2 linked regions of the Anolis sagrei genome follow. The main gene of each other region encodes a partner of the protein of the gene in region 2 in a complex. Links are inferred from orthologs where the notes say so. Each region holds a gene or a part of one and is shown on either strand. Other genes may lie near its edges.

The links.
Region 1: TRMT112 (region 2) and THUMPD3 share a complex: the UniProt entries of both Homo sapiens proteins name them as parts of the heterodimeric THUMPD3-TRM112 methyltransferase complex. The link is inferred for Anolis sagrei from reciprocal best matches to the Homo sapiens genes TRMT112 and THUMPD3.

What each region holds. Positions count from the first base shown.
Region 1 is NC_090022.1:49,779,139-49,789,741, reverse strand, and holds the start of THUMPD3 (tRNA (guanine(6)-N2)-methyltransferase THUMP3), read right to left. Parts: upstream 6,024-10,603; 5' UTR 5,741-6,023; intron 3,000-5,740; 5' UTR 2,968-2,999; coding exon 2,710-2,967; intron 2,084-2,709; coding exon 2,006-2,083; intron 1,122-2,005; coding exon 618-1,121; intron 1-617. UniProt on the Homo sapiens protein: Catalytic subunit of the THUMPD3-TRM112 methyltransferase complex, that specifically mediates the S-adenosyl-L-methionine-dependent N(2)-methylation of guanosine nucleotide at position 6 (m2G6) in tRNAs.
Region 2 is NC_090032.1:16,789,332-16,799,934, forward strand, and holds the start of TRMT112 (multifunctional methyltransferase subunit TRM112-like protein), read right to left. Parts: upstream 5,792-10,603; 5' UTR 5,721-5,791; coding exon 5,640-5,720; intron 3,039-5,639; coding exon 2,937-3,038; intron 2,759-2,936; coding exon 2,666-2,758; intron 1-2,665. Other genes in the region: PRDX5 (peroxiredoxin-5, mitochondrial), read left to right, coding at 8,639-8,779. UniProt on the Homo sapiens protein: Acts as an activator of both rRNA/tRNA and protein methyltransferases. Together with methyltransferase BUD23, methylates the N(7) position of a guanine in 18S rRNA.

The sequences.
Region 1 (10,603 bases), on a different chromosome or scaffold from region 2:
ACCCTGTCTCTTGCCCCCATCAGCTGCACCCGTGAAGGTGAGGAGAGAGCAGCCCCCCTCCCCCCGAAGATCTTAGCACCTGGGATGGTTCATAGGGGGATAGGGGGAGATGTGTTCGGACAGAGGGGCTGGGCCAGAACCGTTTAGGGCTTTATATGCTAAAGCCTGCACTCTGAATTGTGCTCGGTAGCAAATTGGCAGCCAGTGGAGCTAACAGAGCTTTTTAAAATTTAGAATAAAGCATATTTAAAATGATTTATTTGTATGATGCTTCAAGATTTCACAGTAGAATGCAGCATAAAAGCATTTTCATTGATACATTAAAACATGTATCAATCCAACTAGTGTTCAGAACAATCCCTACCTTCTTGACTTCTGCAGACTAAACTATACAAAGAAATGTCATGAAAAACACCACATACAATTTCCATTCATCTCCTTATAGCACTTGATTAGGTGCTTTGCACCTGAGTAAATCTGAGCTCACTTTGCTTATCTATTCTCTTGAATTTTGGTGAAAAAGTAATGGATCAAATTTTATCACAAGACATTCCTAAAGCTTTGCATGCAAGAGAATATTATCCTACCCAGCCCCCCAAACTAGTATAGAATTTTACCTCTACATCAAAATTAGTCATGTCTGCTTTCCACTGGAAAAAATCTTGAACTGCTCCTCCAAAATCTCTTGCTGCCTCATTTGATTTAAAGCTGTGTTTATCACCAGCTCTGTTGCAAGTCACCCTGAACTTCAGTGTCTCAGCATCCATTTCACACTTCTTACAGTCTTCCAATTCATTCTTGTTTTCTTCATTGGATGCCAGCTCTTCTTTAGGATCAGACTGCTCATCTTCATCAAGTGGTACCTTTTCATCAGTACACTCAGGGTTCTGGGTTTCAGCAGCCTCCAAACTATTTTGTACTGGATCATCTATTTCTTTGCAAACAGCTTCTTGTTCACACCCATCTTCTTTTAGCTTCTCTTTCTTTGAATTGCCTTGTTGATTGCCTTTCTTTCGCCTTGTTTTCCTTTTTTTAAGATTTGTATTCAACTTCCATACTTCCAAAGCATCAGTCCAAGGCAGTTTCTTAGCCAAGTCCTCTAAATCCTTTAGAGTGTCCTCCTATAACATAAGAGGACAAAGCACTTAAACTTTCTTTCATGCTGCCAAGCATTCCCTATGTCTACTAAATTCCATTTACAATACATTCAATACATCTGCTTCTGATGAAGTAGACCTAGTCTGTGAAATCTTATGCTATAAACGTCTTTTGTTCGATTAGGTTCAGAGGTGCTACAACATAACTTTGCATATTTTTAGCTCCAACATCAATTCTCTTCTGCTTTGGTACATGATATATTATGGCTACACCACAATGAACATTTAGATGCACAAAATGGTTTATTCATGTTCAGATCAACTGCTTAACAGTAATACCTTCACACTTTCAGCTACTGAAATCCTACTGAGTTTATAAAGTATTCAAAATGACATACATGAAAGATAAAATATACTGAAACATAATCAAATATTAGAAAACAGAAAATTAAAACAAAAAGAAAACAGGATAGCTATATAATAAGACAGCAATATGTCCTACTAACTTGCTGGAATATAAACTATTCATATTACTCAGTTGATGGGAGGGTGAACATGAATGGACACGAACATGCTAATTACCTCCACTTTTGATTCCTGCCAAACACCTTCTACAGGGCTAACCTTGGATACATAATACTGCTAACAATTTGCTGGCTGGCAATGCTCAAATGTAACACATGAGATCTCATTCAATCGGTAATAGTGATCTATTGGCTTCTGTGCTCAGTTCAAGTTTCTGGTCTTAACTATTAAAATCTAAAGGCTGAGATCCTACATCATCCCAACATGGCGTAGATATTATCTATTAGCATTACGAAGTCCCTATGCTTCATATATTCCTGTACTAAATATTTTTTGTCATTTAAAAAACATGTGCTTGGAAGCATGGAGTCAAAAATGCTTACCTTAGTTTCTTTAAACTGATAATCTTTGAATTCTTGAACTACAACAAATAAGTTGTCAACTGATCGCAACTGATGAACCTAGATGAAATTAGAGAATCTCTTGTTTACTATCGTAGGGGGCTTTGCAATCCTTAAAGACAAGTCTGCTGGTTATTATATTTGGCTTGAAAACATTAAACAGAAAACAAATGCCTACTCTTAAAATGTAACAGAGCAATGTATTTGTCATATTTTTGTGGTAGGTATTTGTTTACTGTTGCTGCACATTTAAAATGCAACTCTTCACATACTGTTATCACACCAAAGCATGTGCAAACTTCAACTTGGAAGTGTTATCTAGAACTAAATATATATATATAAATCTACTTTCACTGAATCTACTTCATCTACTGGAGACCTGTCAAAACAAATATGGCTGCAGTGTGAAACAAAACTTACTACAAAATAAAAACATTTGACTGTTCTTCCATCTCTCCATTCTTCTTCTTTCATGCTCACAATTTCAGTATTTGCAATCCCTTGCTTCAAAAAGAATAGGGCATTAATAAAAATAGATTACAATTATAATTTTATGACTAATAAGGAAACAAACATATGAATAACTGCAAGGAGAATTACAAATTAATATACAACAGGTATTTAAAGTCACAAGCACACACTTTACTCAAATATTTAATAAAAATATTTAATAAAAATCTGCAAACCTGTGGAAGTCTGATTGCAGGAATTTCAAAATAGATTTTCCCTCGATCTTTACTAATTCTGGACTTTGATCCAAGTTTCTCCTGTACTTCATCTGCTGCAGTTGCCTCAAAGCCAGTTGGCACAGTAGCCCCAATTGTAACTATAATATCTTTAGGTTTTGTGTCAGGATTGACTTCACAGTTCTCACTTAATGTTTCACATGCATTTTCCAGGGTCACTTCAGATAACATATCACCGGCCTCTTCAGGTCCAGACATTCTAGCAGGTATTGTGTTTGTTTATAGAACCTCTGTAAAATAAATGCATTCTTTAATAGACTCACCAAATGATTCAAGCAATGCACTTGTTGAGATTTTTTTTCAAACAATGGGACCTGACAAATTCTTCTGTTCAGCGCTACACCTCACATTAAAAGTTGCTTTGATAATATGCATTGGGTCCTTGGTATCTGCTAGGGGTTGGTTTCAGGAATCATCCAACTCATATTGATGCTCACTTTCCATTACATACAATGACATAGTAAAATGATGTCCCTTATATAAAAAGTCAAAATCATGGGTTGCTTTTTGCATTGGGGGGAGGAGGGTATATTTTCAAGATACAGATGCTTGAACCCATGGATATAGGATCAATGGCTTTGGAGAGCTGATTGAATATCTAATATTTTTATGTACAAAAATGGCACCATATTTTAAAAAATATAAGCTTAAAATCATAGGATTTTTGAAATAACATTTACTAGTACACGCATATATGAACATAAAGCAACAGGGGACCAGATGAGAAGTGGTTATGATCCTCAATCTCCCATTGTTAAGGCTGCCTACTATCCAAACCATAGAATTATTTTTAGAAAAACCCAATGAAATGGCCAAGTCAAACACTAGCACACTGCAATGTGTGTTAGAATAACACCAGAACCTCAGTGCACTCAGACTTCACTCTCATAATCATGGTATAACAAGAAGCCATTATTGTGTTTTACAGAAACACCACTCTTTAAAAGGCCCTAATTGAAGTCAAGCACCTATTACATCCATTGATTTCCTCATAAGAAAGCAAAGTTTTATGACTCCTCAATGGAAACAAACCAGCCTGGCTGAACCATATGGAGTGGACTCAAGGTACAGTTTACTATCCCTTATCCAAAATGACAATATCCTGTATTTTGGATGTGTGTGTTAGGAATATCTTTATTTGTAAATGAACATTATCTGGGATTTGGAGAGAGAGTGTGTGTTAGGAATACCTTTATTTGTAAAAGATAGTATCTGGGATTTGGAGTGTGTATGTGTTAGGAATACCTTTATATATAAATGATAGTATCATGGATTTGGGGTGTACTTGTGTGTGTTAGTGTTAGGAATACATTTATATGTAAATTATATTATCTTAGATTTGGGGGGAGGTGTGTGTAAGGAATACATTTATTTGTAAATGATAGTATCTTGGATTTGGTGTGTGTGTGTGTGTGTATGCACGTGCAAGGAATACCTTTATTTGTAAATGATAGTATCTTGAATTTCAGGTGTTTGTGTGTGTTAGGAATACCAAGATATCTTTAACCTTGGAGAAGGGACTTAAGTCTAAATGCAAAATGTTTCACGCATACACATCTGCTGTAGGTAAATGGAACGACTGGACGATGTGACTGAAAAATGATTTTAGTAATGAGACGTTGAGGACTTGTGTTTTTTTTGGGGGGGGGGGTTTGTTTTTGTTTTTTTAATCGGTTTTATACTGATTTATGCATTGCTTTTGACACAAAATAAATATATATTGTCTTTATTGTTTTTATATGGTTTATATTATATGCTAATGTTTTAATTATATTTTATGTTGTTGGGAGCATTGAATTTTGCCGATTGTAAACCGCCCTGAGTCGCCTCCGGGCTGAGAAAGGTGGTATATAAATATAGTAAATAACGAAAGAAATAGATTCCATTTTATTAATGATTTTGAACGTGAAACAAAAGTATGTATACAACGAACCATCAGAAAATAGAAGTGTCACAGCCACTGCTGTATTCTGAAGTTTGTTGTTGTTCATTCGTTCAGTCGTCTCCGACTCTTTGTGACCTCATGGACCAGTCCACGCCAGAGCTCCCTGTCGGCCGTCACCACCCCCAGCTCCTTCAAGGTCAGTCCAGTCACTTCAAGGATGCCATCCATCCATCTTGCCCTTGGTCGGCCCCTCTTCCTTTTCCCTTCCACTTTCCCCAGCATAATTGTCTTCTCTAGGCTTTGCTGTCTCCTCATGATGTGGCCAAAGTACTTCAACTTTGTCTCTAGTATCCTTCCCTCCAGTGAGCAGTCGGGCTTTATTTCCTAGAGGATGGACTGGTTGGATCTTCTTGCAGTCCAAGGCACTCTCAGAACTTTCCTCCAACACCACAGTTCAAAAGCATCTATCTTCCTTCGCTCAGCCTTCCCTAATGTCCAGCTCTCACATCCGTAGGTTACTACAGGGAATACCATGGCTTTGACTAGGCAGATCTTTGTTGCCAGTGTGATGTCTCTACTCTTTACTATTTTATCGAGATTGGACATTGCTCTCCTCCCAAGAAGTAAGCGTCGTCTGATTTCCTGGCCACAGTCTGCATCTGCAGTAATCTTTGCGCCTAGAAATACAAAGTCTGTCACGGCCTCCACATTTTCTCCCTCTATTTTCCAGTTGTCAATCATTCTTGTTGCCATAATCTTGGGGTTTTTTTGATGTTTAGCTGCAACCCGGCTTTTGCGCTTTCTTCTTTCACCTTGGTATTCTGAAGTAATCTGGAATATTTCAGGTTAAGGAATAAAGGATGCCAAACCTGTAACCCGCTTGGGTGCGTCTACATTGTGGTATTAATGCAGTTTGGCACTCCTTTAACTGCCATGGCTCAAGGCTATGGAATCCTGGGAGACACAATTTGCCAGGGCCTCAGAACTCTTTGGCAGAAAATAAAACTAAACTCCCAAGATCCCAGAGTACTGAGCCAGGGCATTAATTCTACAGTGTAGAGCCCCCCTCCTCAAGCCTTTTCCTACCTTCCAATGGAGTTGTGTTGCTGTAAAATGCGGAGTGATGCAGAGGCCGTCTTCGAAAGGAGAGCAAGAGCCCTTTCCTGGGCTTCTTCGGGAGGAGAGCGTGGGAACCGACGAAGCTCCCGCAGACACACACACACAAACGAAGTTCCCTCCTCCTTTCTCAGCCCGCGACCTCCTTTCTTTCTTCCTTTCGCCCGGTTACTCGGGGCAACAGCCTGCACACGAGGAACACCGAGAATTCCTTCCGGGGAAAAGAACCAGCTAATTACAGGCAAGCACTTCCGGGGGAGTGAGCCAGTCAGGCGCGGGAGCCTCTGCGGCCTTGGGAGGGAGGGGGGAGGGCGCGTTCCACTGTTGCCATGGAAACTGTGGGCCAATGGCGTGCGTTCCTTCTTCCCTCGCGCCCCTTAAGTGCAGCACTGCAGGCCCCAATCTGGGAGGAGGCCATTCACACAGAGAAAGAGGCTGGCAATGGCAGTGTAGACCAGGCCTGGGCAAACTTGGGCCCTCCAGGTGTTTTGGAGTTCAACTCCCACCATTCCTAACAGCCGGTAGGCTGTTAGGAATGGTGGGAGTTGAACTCCAAAACACCTGGAGGGCCCAAGTTTGCCCAGGCCTGGTGTAGACTCATGCATTTCAGTTTGAAGCTGCATTATATGGCCTTGCTTTCTATATTTGTCACTCCTGAACCTGTTTCTTTGGCTTCTTCCACACAGTTGGAGGGAAAAAAACACATTTTCTGCTTTGAACTGGATTATATGGTAGTATGGACTCAGATAACCCAGTTCAAAGGACTGATAGCCAGCTGCTTTAAATCACTACAGACTGAGGGGTCATGAGTTCGAAGCCAGCCCAGGTCAGAGTGAGCTTCCGGCCATTGGTCTAGCTTGCTGTCAACTTATGCAGCCCGAAAGACAGTTGCATCTGTCAAGTAGGAAATTTAGGTACTGCTTTATGTGGGGAGGCTAATTTAACTAATTTATGATGCCATAAAAAGAACCAGGCTGTAGTGTACTTAGTAGCCTTCCTCCTGACCTTTAGGAAGCTAGTGAAAACCTGGCTGTGGAACAAAGCTTTTGCAGGATGATGTCTGAGACCAGCAATCGACTAATGGTACTGATCACAATATATGGACTGAATATACGGACTGAGTTAGACATGATTTAATCTTGGCGAATGGCTTTTATGTAATTTAGCTTATATGTAATTGGTAACTTAATGTTGTGTATTGTATTTTAGATTTTTAGTGTTAGCATTGATCTTTGCTGTCAGCCGGTCTGCGTCCCTCTGCAGAGGTAGAAAAGATCGGGATATGAAAGTTTTAAATAAATAAAAAAATAAATAATAGCCAGCTGCATTAACTCACCACGGACCAAGAGGTTATAAGTTCGAAGCCAGCCCTGATGGGGTAAGCTCCCGACCATTAATAATGTTGCTTGCTGTTGACCTATGCAGCCCGAAAGACAGTCGCATCTGTCAAGTAGGAAATTTAGGTACTTCTTTATGCGGCGAGGCTAATTTAACTAATTTATGATGCCATAAAACCTCCCAGCAGCATGCAGAAAAATGAGGAAGTACTCCATCAAAGGACGCAGTGTCACAAATGGACAATCAAGTGGCAGCTCCCCTGTGGCCAGAATCGAGCATACCCTCTTGAAGTCGGAAAAGCTGGAATGTTAAATTGCCTCTGTGTCTATCTATATATGTTGTATTTCTAATTGGCATTGGATGTTTGCCATGTAAATGTGCATTGTAATCTGCCCTGAGTCCCCTGTGGGGTGAGAAGGGTGGAATGTAAATACTGTAAATAATAAAGAAATAAAGCAGATATTGTGGGATTTTCTGCCTGGTTTATATGGCTGTGTGGAAGGACCTTATCATTTTAAGTTATGACCATAGTTGTAATTTATTATTTTCATATTTGCACCTCATGTTTTCATCATAGGCCCCTTCCACACAGCTCTGCAAAATCCACATTGAACTGGGTTATATAGCAGTGTGGACTCATAACCCAGTTCAAAGAAGATATTGTGGATTCGCTACCTTGATATTCTGGGTTCTTTGGATGTGTGGAAGGGCCATCAAATGCTCTATTGGGAGAATTTGCAATGGCAATCTAATTGTCTCATATACACACACATATACATTTAACTTTTTTAAAAAAGAAAAAAAAACATTCCCCAGTTTCTCAAAAGCAGTAACAAAATGTAAAATAATATATGTTGGCTTGAAACACTTCAACTATCTGAGGCCCCTTCTACACTGCCATATAATCTAGAATATCAAAGCAAATAACCCACAAATGGATTATATGAGTCTACACCGCCATATAAGCAGTTTCAAAGTAGATAATCTGGATTTTATATGGAAGTGTAGAAGAGGCTGCAATAATAATAATAATAATAATAATAATAATAATAACAACAACTTTATTTTTATACCCCACCTCCATCTCCTCGAAGGGACTCGGGCGGCTTACATGGGGCCAAGCCCAACACAACAGTTAAAACATAATACATTAAAATGCATATCAACAAAATAATAACAAAAAGCAATATAACAAAATAAAAAGATCAACATTAATGTATAAAACAAACATCAAAACTGACATAACAAAGTTCAATGTCTTGTCGTGGGTGGGCAATCTGATGCCATAGAATTAAAGGATGGAGCTAATGAGTAAAGTGCAAATATCATATAGCAGCGATGAGGGTAAGAATGATTTACCATTAAGGATTTGGATATAACAATCGCAAAGTGCTTGAGGACAAGTTTTTTTTTTGGTCCTAACTAGGGCCAGCTGCCAAGGGAATTGCCTACTTAAAAGCACAATGGAACATCCCTGTCTTTAAGTCCTTGCGGAAGGTGGACACGGAAGGTGCTAGCCTAATCTCCCTGGGGAGGGAGTTCCAGAGCCGGGGGGCCACGACAGAGAAGGCCCTTTCTCTCATCCCCAGAGCCTGAGACAGAGGTGGGACTGTAGAGGGGACCTCACATATTCAGTTTCCTTAAATTGACAGCCATTTCTCAATAGATACGGAGAAGATGACAAACATGGCAGTGTAGAAAGGGGCCATCTTCAACTCACTGCATCAAAACCGGATCTGAACTAATCTTTGCAAGACCTTCATAAGAAAGAGTATGAACTATTCAGCTTTATTTTCTCAGTACTTTACTATTGATAAGAACTAGCTCACTAGAGGGCAGTCTTGTATGGATATATATCAAGACGTAATTGTGATGGCAATATCAACACATGTCTTAATGAGACATGCTGCAGTATCACAGGCTGTCTGGCCCCCACACTACTGTCTAGCCAATATTGCACCACCTGACATCTGCCGGGAAGTAGCAGCCAATAATGAAAGGACCAAGGCAGTGACATCTCCGACCCATCCCCTGTTCGGATATCAACCAGCACGCCAACGCCTTAAATCAAGAAATAGTTTTCTAAGATTTACAAAGATACTCGCAGGAACACCTCAGCAAGCAAGAGTCCAAAAGTGACAGGCTAAAACCCAGCACCTCAATCCATGGCTGATACCAAATGAGACTATTTCTACCAAAATCATCCACATACTGAGCTATTACACATAAGACTGGGCAACTTGGAAGGCGTTGCACAGACTGCGCTCTGGCACCATGAGATGCAGAACCAACCTTAAGAAATGGGGCTACAAATTGGAGTCCACGACATGTGAGTGTTAAGAACAAATCACAGACCACCTATTACAATGCAGCCTGGGCCCTGCCAAATGCACAATGGAGGACCTTCTTATAGCAACACCAGAGGCACTCCAAGTGGCCAGCTACTGGCCAGCTCCTGATACGATAAATAAATAAATAAATATCAGCACATCATTATTTCCAATGTGGACAGCCATCGAGTGTTGCAATTTTAAATTACCCCAATATAGCCACCCCGGCTATATCACTCAGAGGGTAGAGATGACTCTCCAAGCCACACTGTGACTGGAAGTGACTGCTTGTTTGTAAGATTCAGGATGGGAATGGCTGGTTTTTATGCAGTTTGGGGCAGAGATTTAGGACCTCATCCCATGAGTTGCAGAAAGTATGTGTATGTGTGTGTGTGTGGGGGGGGGGGGGGGAGGGGAGGTATCTTCTTACCATAGTGTATTGTCCCATTGTGTTGGAAATAAATTTTTTCCAACCTAATCACACAAGTGAGCATAATCCTCGCTCATTCCATATTCTTTTTCTCTTCCTCTTTTTTTTTAAAAAAGAGGAAACATTGAAATTGTGGAAGCCCAAATAGGTACAGAGACGATGGCAAACATGGTCCTTCTACACTGCCATGTAATCCAGATTATCAAAGTAGATCAAACCAGTCTATACTCCAAGAAATAATGCCCAGCTGCTCATTGGAGGAAAGGATATAAGAGGCAATGATATTATATTGGCCACATAATGAGAAGACAGGAAAACTTGGAGAAGATAACGATGCTGGGGAAAATGGAAGGAAAAAGGAAGAGGGGCCGACCAAGGACAAGATGGATGAAGATTATCCTTGAAGGGACTGGCTTGACCTTGAAGGAGCTGGGGGTGGCCACGACTGACAGGGAGCTCTGGCCTGGGCTGGTTCATGAGGTCACAAAGAGTTGGAAGCAACTGAACCAATAAACAACATCAAAGTAGATAGTCCGGATGATCTCCTTTGAACTGAATTATACAAGTCATATAATCAGACAATCTGGATTGCATATGGCAGTGTAGATTGGGCCATATAATCCAGTTCAAAGCAAATAATCTGGATTATTTGTTTTGATAATTTAGATTATATGGCAGTGCAAATCCAGTCTGAGTCTTCTATAGGCATCTTGTTAGCCATCATACAAACAGAAT
Region 2 (10,603 bases):
CTGAAAGGTTGGGAGTTCGAGCCCAGGTCAGGGTAAGCACCCGACCTTCAGCCCAGCTTACTGTCCACCTAAGCAGTTCAAAAATAGCTGTGAGTAGAGATCTTTCCCAACTAAAAGGTTGGGAGTTCGATCCCGGGTCAGGGTGAGCACCCGACCTCCAGCCCAGCTTACTGTCCACCTAAGGAGTTCAAAAATAGCTGTGAGTAGAGATCTTTCCCAACTGAAAGGTTGGGAGTTCGAGCCCGGGTCAGGGTGAGCACCCGACCTTCAGCCCAGCTTACTGTCCACCTAAGCAGTTCAAAAACAGCTGTGAGTAGAGATCTTTCCCAACTGAAAGGTTGGGAGTTCGAGCCCGGGTCAGGGTGAGCACCCGACCTTCAGCCCAGCTTACTGTCCACCTAAGCAGTTCAAAAACAGCTGTGAGTAGAGATCTTTCCCAACTGAAAGGTTGGGAGTTCGAGCCCGGGTCAGGGTGAGCACCCGACCTTCAGCCCAGCTTACTGTCCACCTAAGCAGTTCAAAAACAGCTGTGAGTAGAGATCTTTCCCAACTGAAAGGTTGGGAGTTCGAGCCCGGGTCAGGGTGAGCACCCGACCTTCAGCCCAGCTTACTGTCCACCTAAGCAGTTCAGAAATAGCTGTGAGTAGAGATCTTTCCCAACTGAAAGGTTGGGAGTTCGAGCCCAGGTCAGGGTAAGCACCCGACCTTCAGTCCAGCTTACTGTCCACCTAAGCAGTTCAAAAATAGCTGTGAGTAGAGATCTTTCCCAACTGAAAGGTTGGGAGTTCGAGCCCGGGTCAGGGTGAGCACCCGACCTTCAGCCCAGCTTACTGTCCACCTAAGCAGTTCAAAAATAGCTGTGAGTAGAGATCTTTCCCAACTGAAAGGTTGGGAGTTCGAGCCCAGGTCAGGGTAAGCACCCGACCTTCAGTCCAGCTTACTGTCCACCTAAGCAGTTCAAAAATAGCTGTGAGTAGAGATCTTTCCCAACTGAAAGGTTGGGAGTTCGAGCCCGGGTCAGGGTGAGCACCCGACCTTCAGCCCAGCTTACTGTCCACCTAAGGAGTTCAAAAATAGCTGTGAGTAGAGAAATTAGGCACCGCTTAAACAGGGAGATATTGTATGGCACCATACAAGAGCAGTACCTATTGAGCTACTCACATTTGCATGTTTTCAAACTGCTAGGTTGGTAAGAGCTAGGGCTAACAGCGGGAGCTCACCCAAACCTGCGGCTTCGAACTGCAGATTAAAAGCAGTACCTATTGAGCTACTCATATTTGCATGTTTTCAAACTGCTAGGTTGGCAGGAGCTAGGGCTAACAGCAGAAGCTCACCCAGACCCGCGGCTTCGAAGTGCCAACCTTTAGGTCAGCAGTTTCACTGGTTTAATGATAAGGGCCAGGCTTTAATCACTAACAGCAAGAAATCTTTCCCAACTGAAAGATTGGGAGTTCGAGCCTGGGTCAGGGTGAGCACCCGACCTTCAGCCCAGCTTACTGTCCACCTAAGCAGTTCAGAAATAGCTGTGAGTAGAGAAATTAGACACTGCTTAAATGGGGAGATATTGTATGGCACCATACAAAAGCAGTACCTATTGATCTACTCACATTTGCATGTTTTCAAACTGCTAGGTTGGTAAGATCTAGGGCTAACAGCGGGAGCTCACCCAGACCTGCGGCTTCAAAACACCAACGTTTAAGTCAGCAGATTCAATGGTTTAATGGTAAGGACCAGGCTTTAATCACTAACAGCAAGAGATCTTTCACAACTGAAAGATTGGGAGTTCGAGCCTGGGTCAGGGTGAGCACCCGACCTTCAGCCCAGCTTACTGTCCACCTAAGCAGTTCAAAAATAGCTGTGAGTAGAGAAATTAGGCACTGCTCAAATGGGGAGAGATGATCGTCCTCATTCCATTTCCCTCCAAGTGCGAAGTTTGCATGGTACGAGGGTTATCCGGAACGTAAAGTTACAAGGTGAGCTCCCGCTGTTAGCCCTAGCTCTTGCCAACCTAGCAGTTTGAAAACATATAAATGTGAGTAGAGAAATTAGACACTGCTTAAACTGGGGAGATATTGTATGGCACCATACAAAAGCAGTACCTATTGAGCTACTCACATTTGCTTGTTTTCAAACTTCTAGGTTGGGAAGAGCTAGGGCTAACAGCGGGACCTCATCCAGACCTACGGCTTCGAACTTCCAATCTTTAGGTCAGCAGATTCACCGGCTTAACGTTAAGGGCCAGGCTTTAATCACTAACGGCAAGAGATCTTTCCCAACCGAAAGATTGGGAGTTCGAGCCCAGATCAGGGTGAGCACCCGACCTTCAGCCCAGCTTACTGTCCACCTAAGCAGTTCAAAAATAGCTGTGAGTAGAGAAATTAGGCACTGTTTAAACGGGGAGATATTGTATGGCACCATACAAAAGCAGTACCTATTGATCTACTCACATTTGCATGTTTTCAAACTGCTAGGTTGGCAAGAGCTAGGGCTAACAGTGGGAGCTCACCTTTACCAACGGCTTCAAACTGCCAATCTTTAAGTCAGCAAGTTCAATGGTTTAACCTGTTGTGCCACCACTAGAAGACCATTGTAGTTCCTTCCAATTCTCTGATTTTGGGCAACAGATGAGGATGCAGGAACCTGGGACGATGAAGAGATCCCTTACCTCCATCAACACATGATGTACTTTCCGGAGAAAATCCTCATTGCTCTCATAGTCAGGGATGGGCTCAGCAGGGAGGTCCGACCGATGACCCAACTGCAAAAAAAAAAGGTAAAACAATGATCCGAGGTTCTAAAGAATGGGAAACAATGGAGCAAAGGGTTCCAAGTAAGTAACACACAATTAAACAGGAAATAAAATTTTCAAACTGGGAATAGAAAATTTTTCAGATTTTGTTACATAGTGTAATGAATGGCAGGAGGACCCGACTCACACTCTCTGCAGCTTCCACCAAGGCTCCCCACTCCACTTTGGGCACCATCCGGGCAGTGAACTCTGGATTGAAATCGACATTGTTCACCTTGACCTCTGTGGCCTGTGCAAAGAAAATGGAGAGAAAAAAAAATATTATTATTATTATTATTATTATTATTATTGACACAAAAGCACAGTATGTCACAGCAAACGAGATCTATATACTGGATTTCGTATCACAAAATCACAAGTCGAACCCTTCCCAAGCGTCTAGGACTGTGTGATGTATTATTATTATTATTATTATTATTATTATTATTTTACTGACACAAAAGCACAGTATATCACAGCAAACGAGAGCTATATGCTGGATTTAGTATCACAAAATCACAAGTCGAACCCTTCCCAAGCGTCTAGGACTGTGATGTATTATTATTATTATTATTATTATTATTATTTTACTGACACAAAAGCACAGTATGTCACAGCAAATGAGATCTAGATGCTGGATTTCGTATCACAAAATCACAAGTCGAACCCTTCCCAAGCGTCTAGGACTGTGTGATATTATTATTATTATATTGACACAAAAGCACAGTATGTCACAGCAAACGAGATCTTTATGCTGGATTTCGTATCACAAAATCACAAGTCGAAGCCTTCCCAAGCGTCTAGGACTGTGATGTATTATTATTATTATTATTATTTTACTGACACAAAAACAGTTTGTCATCACAAACAAGATCTAGATGCTGGATTTCATATCACAAAATCACAATCGAACCTTTCCCAAGCGTCTAGGACTGTGTGATGTATTATTATTATTATTGTTATTATTATTATTATTATTTTACTGTCACAAAAGCACAGTATGTCACAGCAAACGAGATCTCTATGCTGGGTTTCGTATCACAAAATCACAAGTCAAACACTTCCCAAGCGTCTAGGACTGTATGATGTATTTTCGAATGATGCGCACAGATCCAAGTCAGGTGGCCTTTTGCAGTTATTATTATTATTATTATTATTAGCTAATGTAATAATTATTATTATTAATGTTATTACTATTATTAGCTAATGTAATTATTATTACTATTATTAGCTAATGTAATTAATAATAATAATAATAATAATGTTGTTATTATTATTATTATTATTATTATTATTATTAGCTAATGTAAGCCAGGCCGGAGATAGATAATATAGAAGGAATGCCAGAGTTCTTTAATTGTGAAACCCTAACCCTTACCCTAATCCTGAACCATACCAGAATCGTAACCCTAACCCCTTACCCAAACCCTTACCCAAACCCTAAACCTTACGCTAACCCAAACCCTAAACCTTACCCTAACCCTAACCGTAAAAGGTAAAGGTAAAGATTTCTCCTTGACATTAAACCTAGTCATGTCCGACTCTGGGGGTTGCTGCTCATCTCCATTTCTAAGCCGAAGAGCTGGCGTTGTCCTCCTAGGTCAGGTGGCCAGCATGACTGCATGGAACGCCGTTACCTTCTCACCAGATCTATTGATCTACTCACATTTGCATGCTTTTCGAACTGCTAATAGCGGACGCTCACGCCACTCCCTGGATTTGAACCGCCGACCTTTCGGTCAGCAAGTTCAGCGGTTTAACCCGCTGTGCCACTGAGCGGCCCTTAATATAATATTATATAAACTGCTAGGTTGGCAGTTTGAAACCCCTAACCCTAACCCCTAACCCTGCCCTAACCCTTACCCCAAGCATCCCCTCCTTTCTATCCTTCCTTTGCTCTCCCCGCTCTCCCTCCGCTCCCTCTCTTCGCTTTTCCCAGCCGCGTTTGCGGCATCTCCGTAACGCTCGGAGCTTCCGTACACACCTATCATACTATCACCGAGTTCTTTCTCTCACCTTGGACCTTCAAAGAACTCTTGTCTGTTGGAGGCAAGTGTGGATGCTGCAATTGGCCACCTTGATTAGCACTGAATGGCCTTGCAGCTTAAAAACTTGGCTGGTTTCTGCCCGGGGAAATAATGTCCAGGGTGGGAGAAAGAACTCTTGTCTGTTGGAGGCAAGTGCGGATGCGGCAATTGGCCACCTTGATAAGCACTGAATGGCCTCGCAGCTTCACAGACTGGCTGGTTTCTGCCTGGGGGAATAATGTCCAGGGTGGGAGAAAGAACTCTTGTCTGTTGGAGGCAAGTGCGGATGCTGCAATTGGCCACCTTGATTAGCAATAAATGGCCTCGCAGCTTCAAAGCCTGGCTTCTTCCTGTTAACACATCCCAACAAAGGACTTCCTCAGGCAGGAAGCAGCTAGGCTTTGAAGATACAAGGCCATTCTTTGCTATAATCAAGATGGCGAATTACAGCATCCACACTTGCCTCCAACAGACAAGAGTTCTTTCTCCCACCACAGATATATCAACCCCATTGTCCTAGTTTCCAACAAACCTCACAACCTCTGAGGATGCCTGTCATAGATGTGGGCGAAACATCAGGAGAGAATGCTTCTGGAACATGGCCAGGCAACCTGGAAATCCTCACAGCAACACAGCGTAGGATTTGCCCCAAATTCCCCATAGATTTGAAGATTATTTCAGCCTTGCGGCTTCAAAGCCTGGCTTATTCCTGTTAACACATCCCAACAAAGGACTTCTTCAGGCAGGAAGAAACCAGGCTTTGAAGGTACAAGGCCATTCAATGCTAATCAAGGGGGCGTGGCCTGGGAACGCCCCGCCCTCACCTGAATGCGAAGAGGGAAGCCGCCGCCGGGCTTCACGCCCCGCACGTGAGAAGTCAGCATGTTGTGCGTCAAAAGCTTCATCCTCGCACGACGCCGGTGGCCGGGCCGGGAAACCGTCTGCGCATGCGTGCCGCCACTCCACCGCTCTAACGCCCCCTTTTTCCTCTCACTTCCGGCGGCTAATTTCGACACACTTCCGGTGAGTTAGTGCAACGCTAATATCGAATGTACGGGAAACCAGATCTAAATGCGACACCGTTCCGGGTTGTAATATTTCATTTAAACCAACATCCCCACTATTTAAATATTTAAATAAATGAAATAAAATATATAAATAAATATAATATTAAAATGCAATGTTAATATAACATATACAATGTTCTATATATAAAATATAATATCAACGAAATGTTTCAATAAAATAATAATTATTTATGATTATTTGTTTGTTTGTTTTAGTAGAATAATGCCCAGGGTGGGAGAAAGAACTCTTGTCTGCTTGAGGCAAGTGGGAATGTTGCAATTGGCCACTTTGATTAGCATTGAATGGCCTTGCAGCTTCAAAGCCTGGCTGGTTGCTGCCTGGGGGAATCCTTTGTTGGGAGGTTTTAGCTGGCCCCGATTGTTTCGTGTCAGGAATTAGATCTTCTTGAACCATTTCTAGAGCATTATACTATTACAATATTATTATATCTTCTTGAACCAATGCCTCGAGTATTATTATATCTTTTTGAACTAATTTTTGATTGATTCTTGAGTATTATTATTATTATACTATACTTCCCTGAACCGATTATTATGATATTATTCTCATATCTAACCCTAATATTTCCTTGCAGCTTCAAAGCCTTGCAGCTTCAAAGCTTGGCTGCTTCCTGCCTGGGGGAATCTTTAGTATTGAATAGCCTTTTAGCTTCAAAGCCTGGGTGGAAATCCTTAGCATTGAATAGCCTTGCAGCTTCAAAGCCTGGGTGGAAATCCTTAGCACTGAATAGCCTTGCAGCTTCAAAGCCTGGGTGGAAATCCTTAGCATTGAATAGCCTTGCAGCTTCAAAGCCTGGGGGGAAATCCTTAGCATTGAATAGCCTTGCAGCTTCAAAGCCTGGGTGGAAATCCTTAGCATTAAATAGCCTTGCAGCTTCAAAGCCTGGGTGGAAATCCTTAGCATTGAATAGCCTTGCAGTTTCAAAGCCTGGGGGGAAATCCTTAGCATTGAATAGCCTTGCAGCTTCAAAGCCTGGGTGGAAATCCTTAGCATTGAATAGCCTTGCAGCTTCAAAGCCTGGGGGGAAATCCTTAGCATTGAATAGCCTTGCAGCTTCAAAGCCTGGGTGGAAATCCTTAGCATTGAATAGCCTTGCAGCTTCAAAGCCTGGCTTCTTCCAGCCTGGGGGAATCCTTAGCATTGAATACCCTTGCAGCTTCAAAGCCTGGCTGTCTCCTGTCTGGGGGGGGGAATCCTTAGGATTGAAAAGCCTTGCAGCTTCAAAAACTGGCTGTCTCCTGTCTGCGGAGGGGAATCCTTAGCATTCAATAGTCTTGCAGCTTCAAAGCCTGGCTGTCTCCTGTCTGGGGGGGGGATCCTTAGCATCGAATAGCCTTGTGGCTTCAAAGCTTGGCTGTCTCCTGTCTGGGGAGGGGAATCCTTAGCATTGAATAGCCGTACAGCTATTGAATGCCTTACAGCATTGAATAGCCTTGCAGCTTCAAAACCTGGCTGCTTCCTGCCTGGGGGAATCCTTAGCATTGAATAGCCTTGCAGCTTCAAAGCCTGTCTGACACTTGCCTGGGGGAATCCTTAGCATTGAATAGCCTTGCAGCTTCAAAGCCTGTCTGCTTCCTGCCTGGGGGAATCCTTAGCATTGAATAGCCTTGCAGCTTCAAAACCTGGCTGTTTCCTGAATGGGGGAAACTTAGCATTGAATAGACTTGCAGCATCAAAACCTGGCTGCTTCTTGCCTGGGGGGAATCCTTAGCATTGAATACCCTTACAGCTTGAAACCCTGGCTGCTTCCTGACTGGATGAATCCTTAGCATTGAATAGCCTTACAGCTTTAAAGCCTTAGCATTGAATAGCTTTGCAGCTTCAAAACCTGGCTGCTTCCTGCGTGTAGAATCCTTAGCGTTGAATAGCCTTGCAGCTTCAAAGCCTGGCTATCTCTTGTCTGGGGGAATCCTTAGCATTGAATAGCCTTGCAGCTTCAAAGCCTGGCTGCTTCCTGCCTGGGGAGAATCTTTAGTATTGAATACCCTTGCAGCTTCAAAGCCTGGATGCTTCCTGAATGGGGGAATCCTTAGCATTGAATAGCCTTACAGCTTTAAAGCCTTAGGATTGAATAGTTTTTCAGCTTCAAAGCCTAGCTGCTTCCTGCCTGGAGGGAAATCCTTAGCATTGAATAGCCTTGCAGCTTCAAAGCCTGGCTGCTTCCTGAATGTGGGAATCCTTAGCATTGGATAGCCTTACAGCTTTAAAGCCTTAGCATTGAATAGCCTTGCAGCTTCAAAGCCTGGCTGCTTCCTGCCTGGGGGAATCTTTAGCATTAAATACCCATACAGCTTTAAAGCCTTAGCATTGAATAGCCTTGCAGCTTCAAAGCTTGGCTGCTTCCTGCCTGGGGGGAATCCTTAGCATTGAATACCCTTACAGCTTTAAAGCCTTAGCATTGAATAGCCTTGCAGCTTCAAAGCCCGGCTGCTTCCTGCCTGGGGGGAGGATCCTTTCAGGGGAGGTTAGCTGGCCCTGATTATTTCCTGTTTTTCTGAGCGTTGTTCTTTATTTACCATGCTGATTTTAGAGGTTGGTTTTTAATACTGGTCGGCAGATTGTGTTCATTTCCACGTGGTTGTACTTCATGCAAATGAGATGCAGATGAGCCACCCCAGGCCCCGCCCCTTGCGTTGGCCCCGCCCCCTGACTACCCGCCCTCCGGAGGGGAGAGGGAGACTTGGGAGGCAGGCCCGGGGTTGCCAGGGCAGCAGCCGTCACTCCTGCGATTTCCATGGCAACGGGGTGGCGAGGGGCGGGGGTGCTGGCTTTGGCAGGCAGGGCTGTTTTGGTGCAGGCCCCACTCCTCGGCATCCGTGGAGCGCAGAAGGGCCGGTATTTCGGGACCGGAGCAGCAGCCATGGCCGCCCTCAAGGTCAGTCGCCTCGGGGCGGGTCCACACCGGAGAGTTAACGCGGTTTGGCCCCTCCGGGAGCCGTCATTAGAGTTGGCAAAGGCTCGAGAAGGGCCTGAGTGAGGCCTAGGCCTGGAATGCCTCCTCAGGAGGCATTCCAGGCCTAGGCCTCACTCAGGCCCTTCTCGAGTTGCATTGACTGTGTGTGAGGCATTCCTCTTAAGGGCTGGAATACCATATTTTGTGTGTGTGTATTTATGTCTATTGTGCATTGTAGTTTCTGCATGTGATTATGTACAGTAGTCTCTTCTCCAACATCAACGAAAATAAGCGAAAATGTGGACTAAAAAGGAGGAATCTGGAGAACAAGCCCTATGAGGAGCGGCTTAAAGAGCCCGAGAAGAAGAGAAGCCTTTCTGTATGGGATTATGTACAGTAGTCTCTTCTCCAACATCAACGAAAATAAGCGAAAATGTGGACTAAAAAGGAGGGATCTGGAGAACAAGCCCTATGAGGAGCGGCTTAAAGAGCCCGAGAAGAAGAGAAGCCTTTCTGTATGGGATTATGTACAGTAGTCTCTTCTCCAACATCAACGAAAATAAGCGAAAATGTGGACTAAAAAGGAGGGATCTGGAGAACAAGCCCTATGAGGAGCGGCTTAAAGAGCCTGAGAAGAAGAGAAGCCATTCTGTATGTGATTATGTACAGTAGTCTCTTCTCCAACATCAACGAAAATAAGCGAAAATGTGGACTAAAAAGGAGGGATCTGGAGAACAAGCCCTATGAGGAGCGGCTTAAAGAGCCCGAGAAGAAGAGAAGCCTTTCTGTATGGGATTATGTACAGTAGTCTCTTCTCCAGCATAAACGGGCCAAGAGCAGAACGTTGGATAAGCGAAAATGTGGAGTAAAAAGGAGGGATCTGGAGAACAAGCCCTATGAGGAGCGGCTTAAATAGCCTGAGAAGACATGAAGAAGGCCAGGGATAAATATGTGAGAGGGAGGAGGGGGAGAACTTGTTTTCTGTTTCCTTGAAGACTAGGACGCGGAACTATGGCTTCAAATATGCCTGCAGGACAAGGACTGTTTACAGACGTCACATGCAACTCCTGGAACGATTCCATGAGCGCTGCCTCCGGAAAATCCTGCAAATCTCTTGGGAAGACAAGCGGGGAAATGTCAGCATGCTGGAAGAAGCAAAGACCACCGGCATTGAAGCAATGGTCCTCCGCCATCAACTCCGCTGGGCTGGCCACGTTGTCCGGATGCCCGACCACCGTCTCACAAAGCAGTTGCTCTACTCCGATCTCAAGAATGGAAAACGGAATGTGGGTGGAAAGGAAAAGAGATTGAAAGATGGGATCAAAGCCAACCTTAAAAACTCTGGCTTCCCAGTTCTCAGGGTCAATGCCAGAGTTTTTAAGGTTGGCTTTGATCCCATCTTTCAATCTCTTTTCCTTCCCACCAACATTCCTTTTTCTTTAAAAACTCTGGCCCTTGAGCACTCCAGCTGGAGGTCAGTTGTGACCAGTAGTGCTGCAGAATTTGAAGAGGCATGAATGGAGGAAGAAATAAACATGCCAAGAGGAAGACGCGTCAAGCCAACCCCAACTGGGACCGCTTTTCACCTGGAAACCAATGCCCTCGCTGCAGGAGAAGATGCAGGTCAAGAATAGGGCTCCATTGCCACCTACGGACCCACCCTGGAGGATTATCCTACGAAAAGAGATTTAAAGTAGTCCACGCTCTGGTTACATCGCGTTTAGACTACTGCAATGCTCTCTACGTGGGGTTGCCTCTGAAGACTGCCTGGAAGCGTCAATCAGTCCAACGTGCGGCAGCCAGATT